2 linked regions of the Cricetulus griseus genome follow. The protein of the gene in region 2 interacts with the protein of the main gene of each other region in a pairwise test. Links are inferred from orthologs where the notes say so. Each region holds a gene or a part of one and is shown on either strand. Other genes may lie near its edges.

Evidence for each region. The genes of interacting proteins can lie anywhere in the genome.
Region 1: the proteins of Arntl2 (region 2) and Clock interact in binary tests that used the Homo sapiens proteins (3 or more experiments, as listed by UniProt). The link is inferred for Cricetulus griseus from reciprocal best matches to the Homo sapiens genes BMAL2 and CLOCK.

Annotation. Positions count from the first base shown.
Region 1 is NW_023276807.1:142,732,960-142,740,519, forward strand, and holds the start of Clock (circadian locomoter output cycles protein kaput), read right to left. Parts: upstream 5,083-7,560; 5' UTR 4,925-5,082; intron 4,348-4,924; exon of another isoform or gene 4,330-4,347; intron 4,102-4,329; 5' UTR 4,023-4,101; intron 1,764-4,022; exon of another isoform or gene 1,616-1,763; intron 1-1,615. Other genes in the region: collagen alpha-1(I) chain-like, read left to right, coding at 5,335-5,739. UniProt on the Homo sapiens protein: Transcriptional activator which forms a core component of the circadian clock.
Region 2 is NC_048601.1:2,894,363-2,901,455, forward strand, and holds part of Arntl2 (aryl hydrocarbon receptor nuclear translocator-like protein 2), read right to left. Parts: intron 5,137-7,093; coding exon 4,896-5,136; intron 4,432-4,895; coding exon 4,325-4,431; intron 3,898-4,324; coding exon 3,747-3,897; intron 1,312-3,746; coding exon 1,253-1,311; intron 1-1,252. UniProt on the Homo sapiens protein: Transcriptional activator which forms a core component of the circadian clock.

The DNA.
Region 1 (7,560 bases), on a different chromosome or scaffold from region 2:
ACTTTATTTGAGCTTCTCACTTCCTAAATACAAAAACCTTTGAAGCCAGGTGTGGTACACCCCTGTAATCCCAGGACTAGAGAAGTTGGAGCAAAAGGATTCAGAGTACAAGACTAGCCTGAACTACATAGCAAGACTTTGTCTAGAAAAAAATCCAAACACCACCAACAACAAAAAGGGAATTGACTTGTGCTTTTATTTTCTACTATTTATACTGAAAATTAAAAATTAAGTATCAGGTTAAACAAGAACTCTTTTAAAAAGCCAAGCATTTGTTGGGCATGGTGGTATCCACTTTTGATTCCATCACTCACCATAAAAGAAAATAAAAATAAAAAGGGATTTTGTCCAAAAAAATTAAATATTTAAAATACAGAGCATTTTTTTAAAGAAATAAAAAATCCTTTAGGCAATGGAGAGAAGGTTCAGTGGTTAAGAGCACTGACTGCTCTTCCAGAGGAAATGGGTCCAATTCCCAGCACCTACATGGCAGCTCACAACTGTCTGTAACTCCAGTTCCAGGGGACCTGACACTCTTCTGCCCTCCCAAGAGAGCCCCTACTCATATGGTGCACAGAAATACATGCAGACAAAACATCCAAACACACAAAATAAAATTTTAAAAAAGTCCTTTTAAAAAAATCAAAAGTAGCCAGGTGTTAGTGGTGCATGCCTTTAGTCCCAGCACTCAGGAGGCAGAGGCAGGCGGATCTCTGGGAGTTCGAGGCCAGCCTGATCTCCAGAGCGAGTGCCAGGATAGACTCCAAAGCTACACAGAGAAACCCTGTTTCGGAAAAACAAAAGCAAACAAACAAAAAAACTAAAGTAATAGCAAAAAATCACTCTTTATAAATAATTTCTCTTTGTAGAGTGACAGGACAGACTTAAAATAATAAGCAAAAGTATTTCTTTGTAGATTACACAACCAACATGATAACTTAGAATTAAAATTGTGAGAATAAGTTGTTTAGGTAATTTAATATTTGCAGAGTAAAGCATGGAGAAAACAGAATTTCTTTATCCACTTAATTCATGGAAATTACATATATCAGGGCTATTAAAAATGGTTGTAAAGCAATTTATAAATACCATTATGTAATTAAGCCAATTAGTAAGAATTAAATTGTTCTTACACTTAATAGTGTTAGGTTGATAATCCGTTCAACTATACCAACAATTTAAAGCTCAAGTTAGCTGATTGATGCCTTACTTCAATAAAGATGCTTAACACGATGCAAGTACTTTAAGAAAACAGTCACAAAGATAGTTTTGCTATAAAATGTCTAACTTTTAAAAATAATTTGCTCCTATGTTTTATTAAAACATTCAGAGCAAATAAATAGTTTGCCTACCACAGCACTGTAAGTACAAATAGGGAGAGGAAGCATTTAATGTAGTGCTCTGAGGGAAGAGTAAGAAAAGCACAACTTTCTTTTATTATTAACAAAACCCTGCCTAACAGACAGCAGTTCACTGACAAATCATATTTCTAACAACCTTCAAATCAATGTGTAAGTAATTGATAATCATTAGATAAAGCAGCAAAAGGCTATCTGCAGTGGGAAAGCTTAGCTAAGTGACATAAACAGATGGACAGCACCCATCTCTGAGATACCTGCTGTACGACTGCAGTTGGCTCCTTCACACCAAGGAGAGAGGCTGAGTGAGCTTTCTGTTCTTCTGTTCTCTTCTTTCTTAACTAGTCAGAAGGCTGAGATGCCTAGTCACCCTCAAGGGCCCATACAATCTGACCTTTAAGAGTGCTATAAGAAATGTTAAAGTTTAAGTCTCTGTGCTAAATTCACATCAGTTAGACCTCCCCCCAAACTGCAAATGACTTCATACCAACTAGTACCTCAATGTTGGGGATGGAATAAGAGATTATGCCCTAAGGTTTATATCACATTTTGAAACTTTCTGACATATTCTAAGTCATTTCTATCCTGGGGTTGGGGTACAGTAGAGGCAAACTGGCAAAACAATCAATCATTCAAGAAGAACTCAATAATGGCCAAGCATAACCTGAACATTCAAAAGACTGAGGTAGGAGGTTCTCTACTTTCTGACCAGTCTGGACTACATACTCAACAACCCCACAAAAAGCCACCATAAAAAGCTCAACATTCAATTTTTAAGGCTAAAATGGACATCCTTATAAATCCACAGAAAAAGATGTAGAAAGCTACTCATCCACTTGTTAATACTTACTTTTGGAGAAAAGTATGAGGTAAAGTAGAAAGGTATATCCAGTGTGATGGCACACACCTAAAATCCTAGTGCGTAGGAAGCTGCAGCAGGAGGACTATGCTGAATTCAAGGCCAGCCTGGAGTACACAGTAAGTTTCAGGACAGCCCGGCTACAAACAGCATGACTCTGTCTCGACAACTACAAATATGGAAGGCAGCCTTTACTTATGTGACTTATCTGGCTAAAAGATTGGAAAGATCAGCCAGGCGGTGGTGGCGCACGCCTTTAGTCCCAGCACTTGGGAGGCAGAGGCAAGCAGATCTCTGTGAGTTCAAGACCAGTCTGGTCTACAGAGCAAGTTGCAGGACAGCCTCCAAAGCCACAGAAAAACCCTGTCTCAAAAAACCAAAAAGAAACAAAGAAAGAAAGAAACAAACAAACAAAAGATTGGAAAGATCTACATACATGAAGTTCAAATGAAAAATAAATGCCATTGTGCAGTAGAGTGACTATTATATACCTGCAACAAACAGAAGCAACACATATATCCTGTCCTACAAAATAAAAAATACTAATAATATTAGTAAAAGTGAGTACAGCAACTAGTTTCCATATAATATTATTGTCACTAGAGGGAGTTTTTGAGTATTCCCTCCCTAAAATTGTACTCAATCTCACAACACCCTTTCAACCTTAACCTTGCTGAAAAGGTTAGGCTGGCAAAGCTAGAAAAATCATTACTATATGTTTACACAATCTGTAACCATAAAAATGCTTAATTTCTTACATTTGATTCTGAATTTTATTTTCCATAATCTCTCTCTCTCTCTCTCTCTCTCTCTCTCTCTCTCTCTCTCTCTCTCTCTCTGCCTCTCTCTCTCTCTCTCTCACACACACACACACACACTGGGGTTCATGTCTGACTTCCTTAAAGGAAATAATAGATTCCCACCAGAAACATTATGCTAAACAATCTAGTTTATTATCATTGTAAATATAGTGTTCAAACTGTGAGGTAGGGATCGACAAAAGGAAAAAAATATGAACTATAGTTCCTGAAGAACTAAAAGGGAGACACTACACTATCAAAGCACATGATCCAATTGTAATACCAAATGCAGTTATCACGAAGTGTCAGCAAGGCAAATAACAACCTTTGTGGTTTTGAATTCATCTGTAACTTCAACTTCTTAAAGTGGAAAGAGCTAGCAAATCCATCCTAAACTTTCCTTCGGTTTATTCCTTCAAATTTTAAAAGAAATAATACTGAAAATGATCAAAATTCCCTACAAAATAGGAAACCAATGGCATATAAACTATCTTAAGCAATTTTTGTTGTTTATGAATCCATAAAATAAAAAATACTACAGATAACACATAAAACATTTCATTTTCCCCCCCTTTCCTCTTCAAACCACTTCTCCCTCTCCCATAATTATTGGTTTTCTAGTATTATTCTAGGATTCCTTTATACAGAAGAGAAATACAAATTTTATAGCTATTACACTCTTCCTTAACACATAAAACAGCACCCAATCCACACCATTCTATTTCTTGTTTTCACTTTATGTCAAAGTTTTGTGCCGTTCTTTTTTCATAGGTCATCGTGGCTAGTCCTGAAAACTAACCAATGACACTCAGCAAACTCCTTGGCACATAAGGTTTCTTTCCCCTAAGATTTTAAACCATATTTATAATTATAATTTAGAGACAGCCATTCTCTAAGTTATATCTTACTAAGAATTTCTTTCCAATCAGCCACAAAATGGATGTTCTACAATTTTTCTTCTCTAATCTCTCTGAAAGTTGTAACGGTGCAATCGAGTGAAATTACCTTTCCTGTGATTTCGGGGATCGGCGCCGTAGTCAAATCAACAATGCCCATAAAAGTTTCTTCTTGTGCTTTTCTTTCACTGAAAAAGAAAACACCGGGGTTTGTTGCTGTCGTCTTAAAAGCACCTACAAAGCCTTCAGTTTGTAGGGGTACGGCATTCTAATACCAAAACCCAACAACCTGATCTGTCATCTGCCAGGGCAGAGGCCAAAGCTCTTCATCTTTCAGGGTAGTCTTGTTGACTACTCAGGACTTGTTCGGAAGCAGAAAACACCCAAAGGAACATAAACTTCGTGGCGCTGCGTACCGGTCGAGCCACGGCCACGTCCAGGGTGGTCAGCTCCGCAAGCCGAGAGCAGCCGGTCGGATGCCCGGGGCCCAGCGCAACCCGCGGTCCAAGCCCCGGAACCACGACCACTAACGGAACCAGCCCTGGGCGGCAGCGGCGGCCGCTCGGACCTCGGAGCGCGGCGCGCGCCGGCCGCCGCGAAGGCGGGGGCTCGGCGGAGGAGCTGGCCGCCCCATCGCCCCATTGGGCGCCGCTCCAAACGTGCCCGAGTGGTGACAGGAATAAAGTGGGTCACAAGGCCTAGCGGGTCCCGGGCGCGAGCCCTCTCGCCGGCCGACTCGGCCTGCCCCCCGCGCCCAGCCTCGAGCGCGCTACGGCCCGGGCGCCTCCCGGGTCGCAGAACCCGCCGCGCCCCCCTGCCCCGCAGGTAACCCCGGCGGCCCGCCGACACCTCACACAGGCCCAGCGGAGTGCGACTCCCCGGGGCTCTGCGTTCTGCTAGCCGCCCCACCCCGGCCGCTGCTCCCGCCTCCCGGCCTGGCCGCAGCCGCCCCCACCCCCGGCCCCACACAGCGCCCCCCGCGCCCGCCCGCACGCCCGCCCGTGTCCTCACCGTGTGGCCGCTTGAGGCTTTGGCTTCCTCCCTCCCCCACCCGGGACTCTGGCGGCGGGGACTCGCGACTGCCAGGCCGCAACGACCGGGGAAACGCCGCGGCTCCGGGAGCCAGCAGCACCTAGGGCGGCCAGTGCGCGCCCCCAACCCACCCCTCCAAATTCGCCGCTACTGCCGCGCTCCTCCCCCTCCCGGTCTTCCCCTCCTCCACCGGCTCCGGAAGCACGCATGCGCCGCCGAGGCCAGCCGTCCGCCGCGCGTCCAACCGAGGCCCACCCTGTGGGGCGCACTCACCGGGAGCGCGCGCGCGCGCCGGCGGCCAGATTTCCTTCGCGCTCTCGCCGGCCGGGGTTTCCTCTCTCCAGCCGGTAGCCGCCGGCCGAGTCCGTGATTGTGCTCCCTCCCGGCGCATGCGTCGTGGACCCGGGGCTCCGCGGCCGGTCGGGCTCTGCACTCGCCCCTCCCCTCGCGGCCGTCTTCCCCGGAGCGTCCGGGCGCGCATGCGACTTTCCCCGTTAGGCAGCCCCGAGCCGCGCCGCGCCGCGCGGAGCTGCGCCACGGAATCCCAGGCGCCCGAGGAAACTCCACTCCTGCGGGCCGGCGTGTGCTCGTTCTGCAGCCGCAGAGGGAAGCGGGGATGCCCCGGGGTCCCCTCCCCCCCCCACGCAGGCCGGGAGGCGGGGCCTGGCGGAGGGTGCGGCCGCCCGCAGAGGTTTGGGAGGCTCTGGGCTCCCTGGGATGCAGCGCTCTCTTCCTGTGGGAGCCACCGGCCCGACGAGGGCCTCGGTCTCTTGAAAAGCAAAGAGCTTAACTGACGCCAAGTTAAACTTCTCCAACCCGACTTGGAACAGGTCGGCTTCCTCTCCTGGAGGTGCGTCGACTGCGGGGGACTCGGTTTCCCCGCCGCTCCCTGTAGGTGGGCATGGGCAACCCAAGTGACCTCGGCTGCAAAAGGTCGGAATGTGTTTGCTCCTTTTATGAAAAGATAAGAGACAACAGTAAAAGATGAGGGTGGCTCCCAGGATGAACAGGGACCCTAGATTACACTGGTTTCGTGGCCGCTGCACCCTAATTATTGGGGGAAAAAAAGCCTTTAGACCCTCCCCCCCCCAGTTCCTAGTAATTTCTTTTAAAAAATCAATTTGGACATGAAACAGAAGGCAGTAAATAAACCTGTACTCTTTAGCTCCAAAATCCTCTCTCCAGGGTTATGTCCAGTAAGAATGAAACAAATTCTTGGTGTATACACAGAATAAAAGAACTTCAAAACCGGAGAATTTGGGTGCGTACTCTCCGAGAAGGCTGAAAAAAGAGAATCTTCAAATTCCCGGCTAATCTGGGCTTCGTAGCCAGACTCTGTCCCGAGAACTTTTCCTTGGTGCCTGTTTTGTTACTTCGCCATTGAAAGGCTCTTACTGCACATTTTGTTCAGAATCCAGCTGCTGCTCTGGGTCATTTTAGTTGAATTCACCCATTCTCCATTCATTCCCTGTGGTCCAGGCAGGACACTTCGCAGTTACTACCAAGAAGGACTGCTTTCCAATGGACTTGAATCTGGAAGAATAAAGCCTTTCCATGTGTGACTAATGAAAAAGAAGGCACCTCGAAGGGGGAAAAAAAAAAAAAAAAAGCAGATTCAAAGGGGGAAGTGTAGCCTAGAGGCTTGATGTCCGACTTTAGGGGCTAGATTGATTCCTCAGGAAGTTTCAGTTAAAGTAATAAATACACTCCTGAATGTATTTTCTTTATTGCTTAAACCAATGAGAGCTTTTTTGTCACAGACTACTTAGCGTCTTGATCACTGGTAGTAAAAAAAAAAAAAAAAAAAGAAGTAGGTTAATCATGCTGATGAAGTTCCTAGGTTGCAGCCAGACAAGGGAGCCTGAATACTTTTCCTAGGTTGAATGTTTCAGTTTTAGTCTAGAGGAAGTCCTTTTTTACATTCAATCTTCTCTAGTACATACATCTTCAAAATGACCTTTGCCCCCTTTAATGATTTCATTGTCCTTTTAGTTACCTATGACTCCTCACATTCTGTGTTTAATTATTTACCAAGACCTGATGAAAATCCCGTGATTTTTCTGCTCAGTCCTCTGCCACGGTTTGAGTATTTCCCACAGGTCAGTTTACAACCCCCCCCATATTCTCTCCAGGGAGGGGGGAAAACTTTTCTTTTTCTCCAACTTTAACATTCTTTGTTTCCATCAAACAAAAACTTTGTCTCAGAATTTCATAAATCTTAAATCTAGGTTCCCAATTCTAAACTATTGCCTTAAACACCACATTTGTTAGTTGTGTGTCCTCTCAACTCCCATGTGCCTTGCCCTTGCTGTTGTTTAAACTGTTTCCAATTGTCTTTTCAGCTGATTTCCCCGTGAAGTTCTTCATCTGTAAAATGAGGATAACAGTTTCAGCTCATAGGACAATTAGAGGCAATTGTGTATTAACACTATCTGCTATGTAAATTACATGTCAAGTATTGGCCACTTCAATTTTTTGTAATTAAAATTTAATTACATCATCTACCCCCTTCCCTTTCTTCCCTGCAGTCCTTCCCATGATCCACACCTTGCTCTCTCTCAAACTCATGGCCTCTATTTCTCTAATTTGTGTTATGTGTATACATTCCTAAATAT
Region 2 (7,093 bases):
CCGACTCTGCCTCCCAAATGTTGGGATTACATGTGTGTGCCACCACCATATTCAGATACTCAGAAAAAATATTTTGCATAAAATACATGAGCACATCCCCATGGTTAAGAGAGAGAGATGCAAAGACACACCCTTCACGATTGTCTCTCATTTGCCTAGTGACATGTAATGAACACAGTGGCTGCAGGGAGACGATGTGAAAACACCAGTCCTGTCCATGAGTAACTCCACTGGTAGGAAACCAGTCACGTGGGCAACTACTTACGTGTGGTACCATGTTCCCCTAGAGTGGAGGTATGAACCAGGTGCTGGGACAGCTGAAGGGAATAGCGGGGCGTTCTTGAAAGTTCCCTATGGGATCTATGTGCCCTCCGAACATAGTCTCTTATTCATTATTTCGTGTGTAAATAATGTATGTGAGTGGCTGCACACATGCTACAGCACACACTTGGAGGTCAGAGGACCATGTGTGGGAGTCTATTCTGGAAACTGAACGCAGGTTGTCAGGTTTGGAGGCAAGAACCTTTACCTGCTGAGCTATCTCACAGACCCTTGGGAGTTTTTTATGTATTTGTGTATACATGTGTATATTGTATGACATATGTATGTACATATAATGTGTGTATGTATGTACTTGTATATATGTGTATATTGTATGTGCATATAATGTGTGTGCACATGCATGATATATGTTTGTATTTATATGTATGTTTGTGTGTATATGTTTATATGTATATGTTTATATGTATGTATGATGTGTGTGTACAAATATATAATGTGTGTATGAAATGTATGTACAAATGTATAATGTGTACATGATGTTTGTGTACACATGTGTGATGTGTCTGTGTGTGATGTGTGTCCATGTGTATAATGTATGTGTGTTTGACGTGTATATGTATGATGGTGTTTATATGCTTATGCGTGTGTATATGACATGTACACGTATGATGCATGTGTATGGTGTGGAGTTCAGAGGACAGCACTGTGATCTCAGTCCACTGCCATCCTTGTGTGTCTTGGGGGTTGAACTCAGGTCACTCTCTGTACGTGACAAGGGCCTGGACACACTGGGTCGTCTCTCCTGCCTTGGCCTCCTTCTCCTGTAACCAAAGGCACGATGTCTGTCCAGTCCAGCTGTCTTCTCACCTCCCCTGGGAATCCCTTCTCTTAGAAGGAAAACCACATCTTCATAAAACACATGCTGGACGATGCATCTGAGCTGCAACCCCGACCCGAGGCCCCGGCTTACCTTCTGAGGACTGGCTGCTGCAGGGAAGTAAGGATGGTGCACCAGCCTCACTGCGCCCCCTGCAAGTCAGAAACAGCATAGGTGACATTCTCTGAGGTGAGGGAACCAATGAAGCTCTGCACTGGCTCCGTGTGTTTGATCTGCCAGTTTCCACTCATCAGTATTTTATTGTTCACACCGTCAGCTAAGACTGGGATCTGAGCCAAATGCCCCACTGGTCGGTTTCACAGTGATGGTGCTCGGCTCCCAATCCAGTGCTAAGGTTCACAGCTGTACTGGGATGGCTGACAGGGAACACGGGCACACTCACCTCCTGGTGATGTTTAAACTACATGTGATAGAGAAGCAAACGGAACTGGTGTGACATGAAGTGTTTATGTAATTATCTTTATCAACAAAAACTCAGAGTCAGATATCAGGGTAAGAGCCTGATTGATCAGAGAAACAGTGGAGAAGTGACCAGCGGCCTTCTCGTTCTCCTGCCCCCATCAGGCCCTCCCTGCTACTTCCTGTCTCTCTCTCTATGTCATAGGTCATGGCTAATTTTGGTCAGCTAGTAGCTAGCTCCACCCTCTGATTCAAAGTCAACTTCACTGGCAGTCTTGGCAGTGTCCGAGGGTGAAAATATCCCACAACAGTGACCCTTACACCCGCTTATAAACTTAGCAAAGCAACGAAGCTTAGGCTAAGCTGAGCTGGCTAAAGGTAGGCACTTCACCTGAAGACAAGGCCAGATTTCTGCTACTTGGTGGCAGTACTGGCCACAGGCATAGAAGATACATCTTTCTTTTCTTTTTTGTTTTGTTTTTGTTTCAAGACAGGGTCCTGGCTGGCCTGCCCATGCTATGTAGACCAGGTTGACCTGGAACTCAGAGACCTGCCTGCCTCTTCTTCCTTAGTACTGACATTAAATGTGTGTGCCTGGCCCTCTCCCCACCTGTGCTGGGGAAACTGAACCCAGGGTCATGCACTTGTATTGATGATTACATAGTGCAGTCAGAGATAGGTAATAACCAGTAGTTTATTAGGGGAAAATACTCACGTAAGGGAACCAGTGACCAGGTTTCCACCTGAGCAGGATGGACCCAGAAATGCTTCCCAGTCAGCTCAGCCTAGCGAGAGACCCACGTGCTTGTCCCCCCTGGCTCTTAAACCCCTCTTAAGTACCTGTGACGGAGCCCAAGTAGGCGTGGTCAGCAGTGCTTGTAATCAGGATCACTCCCTACACACGTTAGGCAAATACTCTACCATTGAGTCAGTGGTTCTTCGTCTTCTGGTTTTTGGGGTGGTGGTTTTTGGGGAACTGTTGTTGCTGTTGTTTTGAGACAAGGTCTCATGTAGTCTAGGCTGGCCTCAGACTCCCTTCGTAGCCAACGATAGCTTTGAGTTTCTCATCCTCCTGCCTCTACTTCCCAGGTGCCAGGATCACAGGTGTGCAAACCATACCTACCTACCTTTACCACCAGACATTATATCAAGCACGAAAGGGGTAGATTACAAAGGGCGAACTGTCAGCTTAACTTGAACAACTTAACATCAATGAAGAACAAAGAAAATTCTCAGGCACCAGTGGCCACCACAGACTCAGGGTTTGACTGTGGGATCACTAATTGTGGACCAAAAATACTGGAGGAGGAAAACCCAAATCTTTCCTAAACACAGAGACTTTTTTCTTGTCATTATTCCTAAATGATCGGGCACAACAGCCATTTAATGACTTTACTTTGCCCCAGGAGTTGTAACTAATGATGACAGGCTCTGAGGATGGATATGGGAGATCAAAGCATTCTGGCATCCGTGCAGGCTCCTGGCACCCATCCCCAAACTGAGCTGCCGCACAGCCAGAGGACCATGAAGTTTTGGTGGCTTCTGAAGGAAAGCAGAGGCACTCCCTTGAAAGTAGGACAAAGCTGCTGGGTGTTGGTGGCGCACGCCTTTAATCCCAGCACTCTGGAGGCAGAGGCAGGCGGATCTCTGTGAGTTTGAGGCCAGCCTGGTCTCCAGAGCGAGTGCCAGGATAGGCTCCAAAGCTACACAGAGAAACCCTGTCTCGAAAAAAAAAAAAAAAAAAAAGAAAGAAAAAAAAGAAAGTAGGACAAATAAGAAGACAAAGAACTGATGGGGCAAGTCCTTCTGTATATGTATTTGTCTTATTGGTTGATGAATAAAACACTGTTGACCAATAGGAAAGCAAGATAGGCAGGACTAGGAAAGAAGGAGGATTCTGGGAAACGTAATAAAGAGGGGTCACCATGTGATCCCCAGGAAGAGGATGCATGCCGCTGGTGTCCTTGAGAAGATAAGTCTTTATAAAATATATAGATTAATGGTTATGGTTGATACTTAAGACAGAGCTAGAAAATAAGAAATCTTAGTCATTGGCCAGCAGCATTGTAAATAATATTAAGTCTCTGTGTGTTATTTGGGGGCCCTAACGTGGCGGCATAACACAGGTGGCTGGCGGAAAGAGTTATCGTTACAGAGAACTACTCACAAAACCAGCGTGTTGATAGACACGATGTACTCCAGCTCTTTGGTCCAAGGGTTGGTGAAGCTGAACCACTGACTCTTCAGGGTTACGAAGGACCCATCCTTCACGCGGAATTTATACGAGTCTGTAAGTATTTTCTCCTTACTCTGCAGAACTTCGCAAGAAAAGATGCGATCAGCAGAGCAGCCTTTAGAATGAAACGACCTCAAGCCAGGTGTGGTGGTTCCTGCCTGGAATCCCGGCCCTTGGGAGGCTTTGTGCGAAGAGGGTAGCTGCTGGATCTAGGCCAGCCAGGGGCCCGTACTGAATCCCAGAACAAAAGCAAACACCAAACCCAAAACCAGTGCCTTGTGAATCAACTCCAGTTTGGGGTTTCATAAGGAACGAGAGATTGAGAGTTGATACTACAATAACAATGACACTTATTTATTTATTTACATAGGGATTTGATACATAGCTCAGGCTAGCCTGGAACTCCTGATCCTTCTACTGCCACCTCCCAAGTCCTGAGATTTTGAGTGTGATCCATCACATCTGGCTGAAGTTGTCATTTTAAATTATGCTCTCGATGAATTACCCACCTGCTTTGTGCTTGACAGTCAAATTGCTGTGGTCATCTTGATGAAAATATTCATAACATGAGGTTCCCAAAAGTTCCTGAGGCAGGTATCCTAAAATTGCTGTTGCCCTGGTTTTGAAACAGAAAATTAGCATGGCACTTACTGAAGGTGATGGCTCCCAGAATCCAGCAGCTCCAGCACAGGTGTGACTTTGAGGCAGCAGCCCCGGGGAAAGAGCTAGTCACGTGGACCACTAGGCTCCTATGGACTGCCTGGTCCCCGCCAGCCACAGACCAGAGCCACCAAACAGGCCACCCAGGTGAGGCCCCATGAAGTCCAGCTGATGCCCTTATAAGGCATCAGTGGCCAACACAGTGGCCATGGAGCAGGCCCAGCCTCAGCACCACTGCTAAGAAATGCTTTTCCAAGTTTGCCCTCTGGCTTGACCAAAACGACCAACAACCATAGCCTTATGCCACTTAAACTATCCTCAAGCCCCAATTAGAAGGAAAATCCTGTAGAGCTACCGAGTCACCCCTGAAACAACCTCAACTGGCCCGGGGCTCCTCATCACCACAGCCTGAGTGCTCACCTTTGATCAACGTAGACGAATTTTCCGTTCGTGGCAAAGCGGGTCACAAACTCAGTTGGCCTCACTTTGATCTTGCCACTCTTCTGAGGGACAGCATATGGATGTAACCGTCCCATGGCTACAAGGCAGGTAAGAGGACCACTGTCTTTAACACTGTCCCTCTCTTTCTCCATGCCAACAACATTCAAAGGCCAGCTTCTTAAGTAGCCAGTGCAATGGACGGTGTAGAATTTCCTGTGGTCTAATGAGAAGCCACAGAAATACACTTAGATCAACATGAATGCCAATGTTACCACCACTTCCTCTTTCCTTCTTCCCTCCTCCAATTTTTTTTTTTTTGAGACAAATTCATCCTGTAGCTCAGGCTAGCCCCCAGTTCCTATGTATAAGAGACTATCTCCTAACCCCCATACTATTGCCTCAGCCTCCCAAGTGGTTACCGACCTGCACCACCATGTCTGTCTATTATGAAAAACAAATCTTACTGTTGTTTGTGATGATGATTGATAGACATATATAGTCATAGTAGGACCACAGAAATGCTTGATGAGCATTTAGAAACACAATAAAAAGTATTTTTAAAAAGACTCAAAACCTTGACTTTTCAGAAAAAAATTCTAAGCAACTAATTCCCATGAAGCAGCTTGTCAAACCAACCCACCAAAAAGGAAAACAAGAAAAGAAAAATCGTTTGCTCAAATATGAGGAAAGTTTATGGAAACAAGGAACGGTCACATGGGCTCAGAAGACGGGTGGTGCACACATGGTAGATGCTTTAGACAAAGTGCCTTCAATGTTAAAACGCAGAGAAAAACCTAATGCAAGTTATTTAAAACATTCAGTTGTGACTGGACTTGCAGAAGACCTGAACAGGCATTGTTTTAAATTGGCATTATTCAGGAAGACTGATAGCACGATAGATTTCATTATTGCTATTATCGTGTGTATGGTGTGTGTGTGGGTATATGTGCAGGAGCCTGCATGTGGAGCTCGGAGAACAACTTTGAGAAGTTGTGGGATTAAACTCAGGCCACTGGGCTTGTGCCACAAGTGCCTTTAAGAATCACATCATGTTGTGGTCCCCAACAATAAATCTTTAAAAAGAAACGTTAGTTTTTCTTTTAACAGAAAATGCTGTAGGTTGCCCTAAGAGTTACAGTCAGCAGCAGGACAGACATGAAGAGGGTGAGCCACAAGTCTGTTGGGCGGTCTTACAGCTGGGATTGTATAACTCATTTAACCTCCTTAATAGTTCTGTGAGGTGCTCTGATATTGTCTGCTTGTCTTTGGGAACAGGCAGGGGCTACAGTCACAGCACATGCAGGGCGGAGCTGAGGACCAAGTGTAGACAGACTGGCTTGGCCTCTGAGCATCTGTGCGGTTCACAGTTTTCTCTTTTCTTCATCACATGGGGGAATTGTCTCTCAAGCAGACTGTGTTGGGCCACAAAAGTAGTCTTAACAAATGCTTGAGGGATGAGATCATATCCTGTATCTTTGTTGGTCACGATGGGATGAGCCAATAAATCAGTAAGGAGAACTAAAAACTGTATCTGAATGGGGGCAGGACAGTGTACTCCCACTGCATGGGGAATTTAAGATGCTCTTGAAACAGACAGAAATGGAAATACCTGTGACTGTGATGAGGAAGCAGAAGAGGACTGACAGGAGGGAGGAAGGAACCTAGGATGGGGAGGGGCACAAGGAAGAGAAGAACCAATGAGACAACCCATGAATAACATATACACATATAAAGATGCCCACAGTGACACCAGGTATCTTCTATGCTAACTTAAGAATTCTTTAAAAATTAAAAAAACACACACACACATATATATATACAATGGGCTAAAACCTTTGGCACAGAGCAAAAATCACTAAGAAGGAATTTTATAGCAATGAGTGCTCGTATAAAAATAATAAGGTCAAGAAGACAGGATTCAAATACACAACCTAACTTGATGCCTCTTAAAAAGCAAGGACAAAACAAACCCCACGGCAGAATAGCTCCAGCTTTGTTCTCTTGGCTGTACTCAATGCAGTCTTCAGATTCAATGTAGTTCCCATCAGAGCACCAATGACATCCTCACCACAGATGAAAATAAAAAAACCACCTAAAATTCCAGTCTACGGATCCAATGTAGTTCCCATCAGAGCACCAATGACATCCTCACCAGAGCAAAAAAAAAAAAAAAAGCC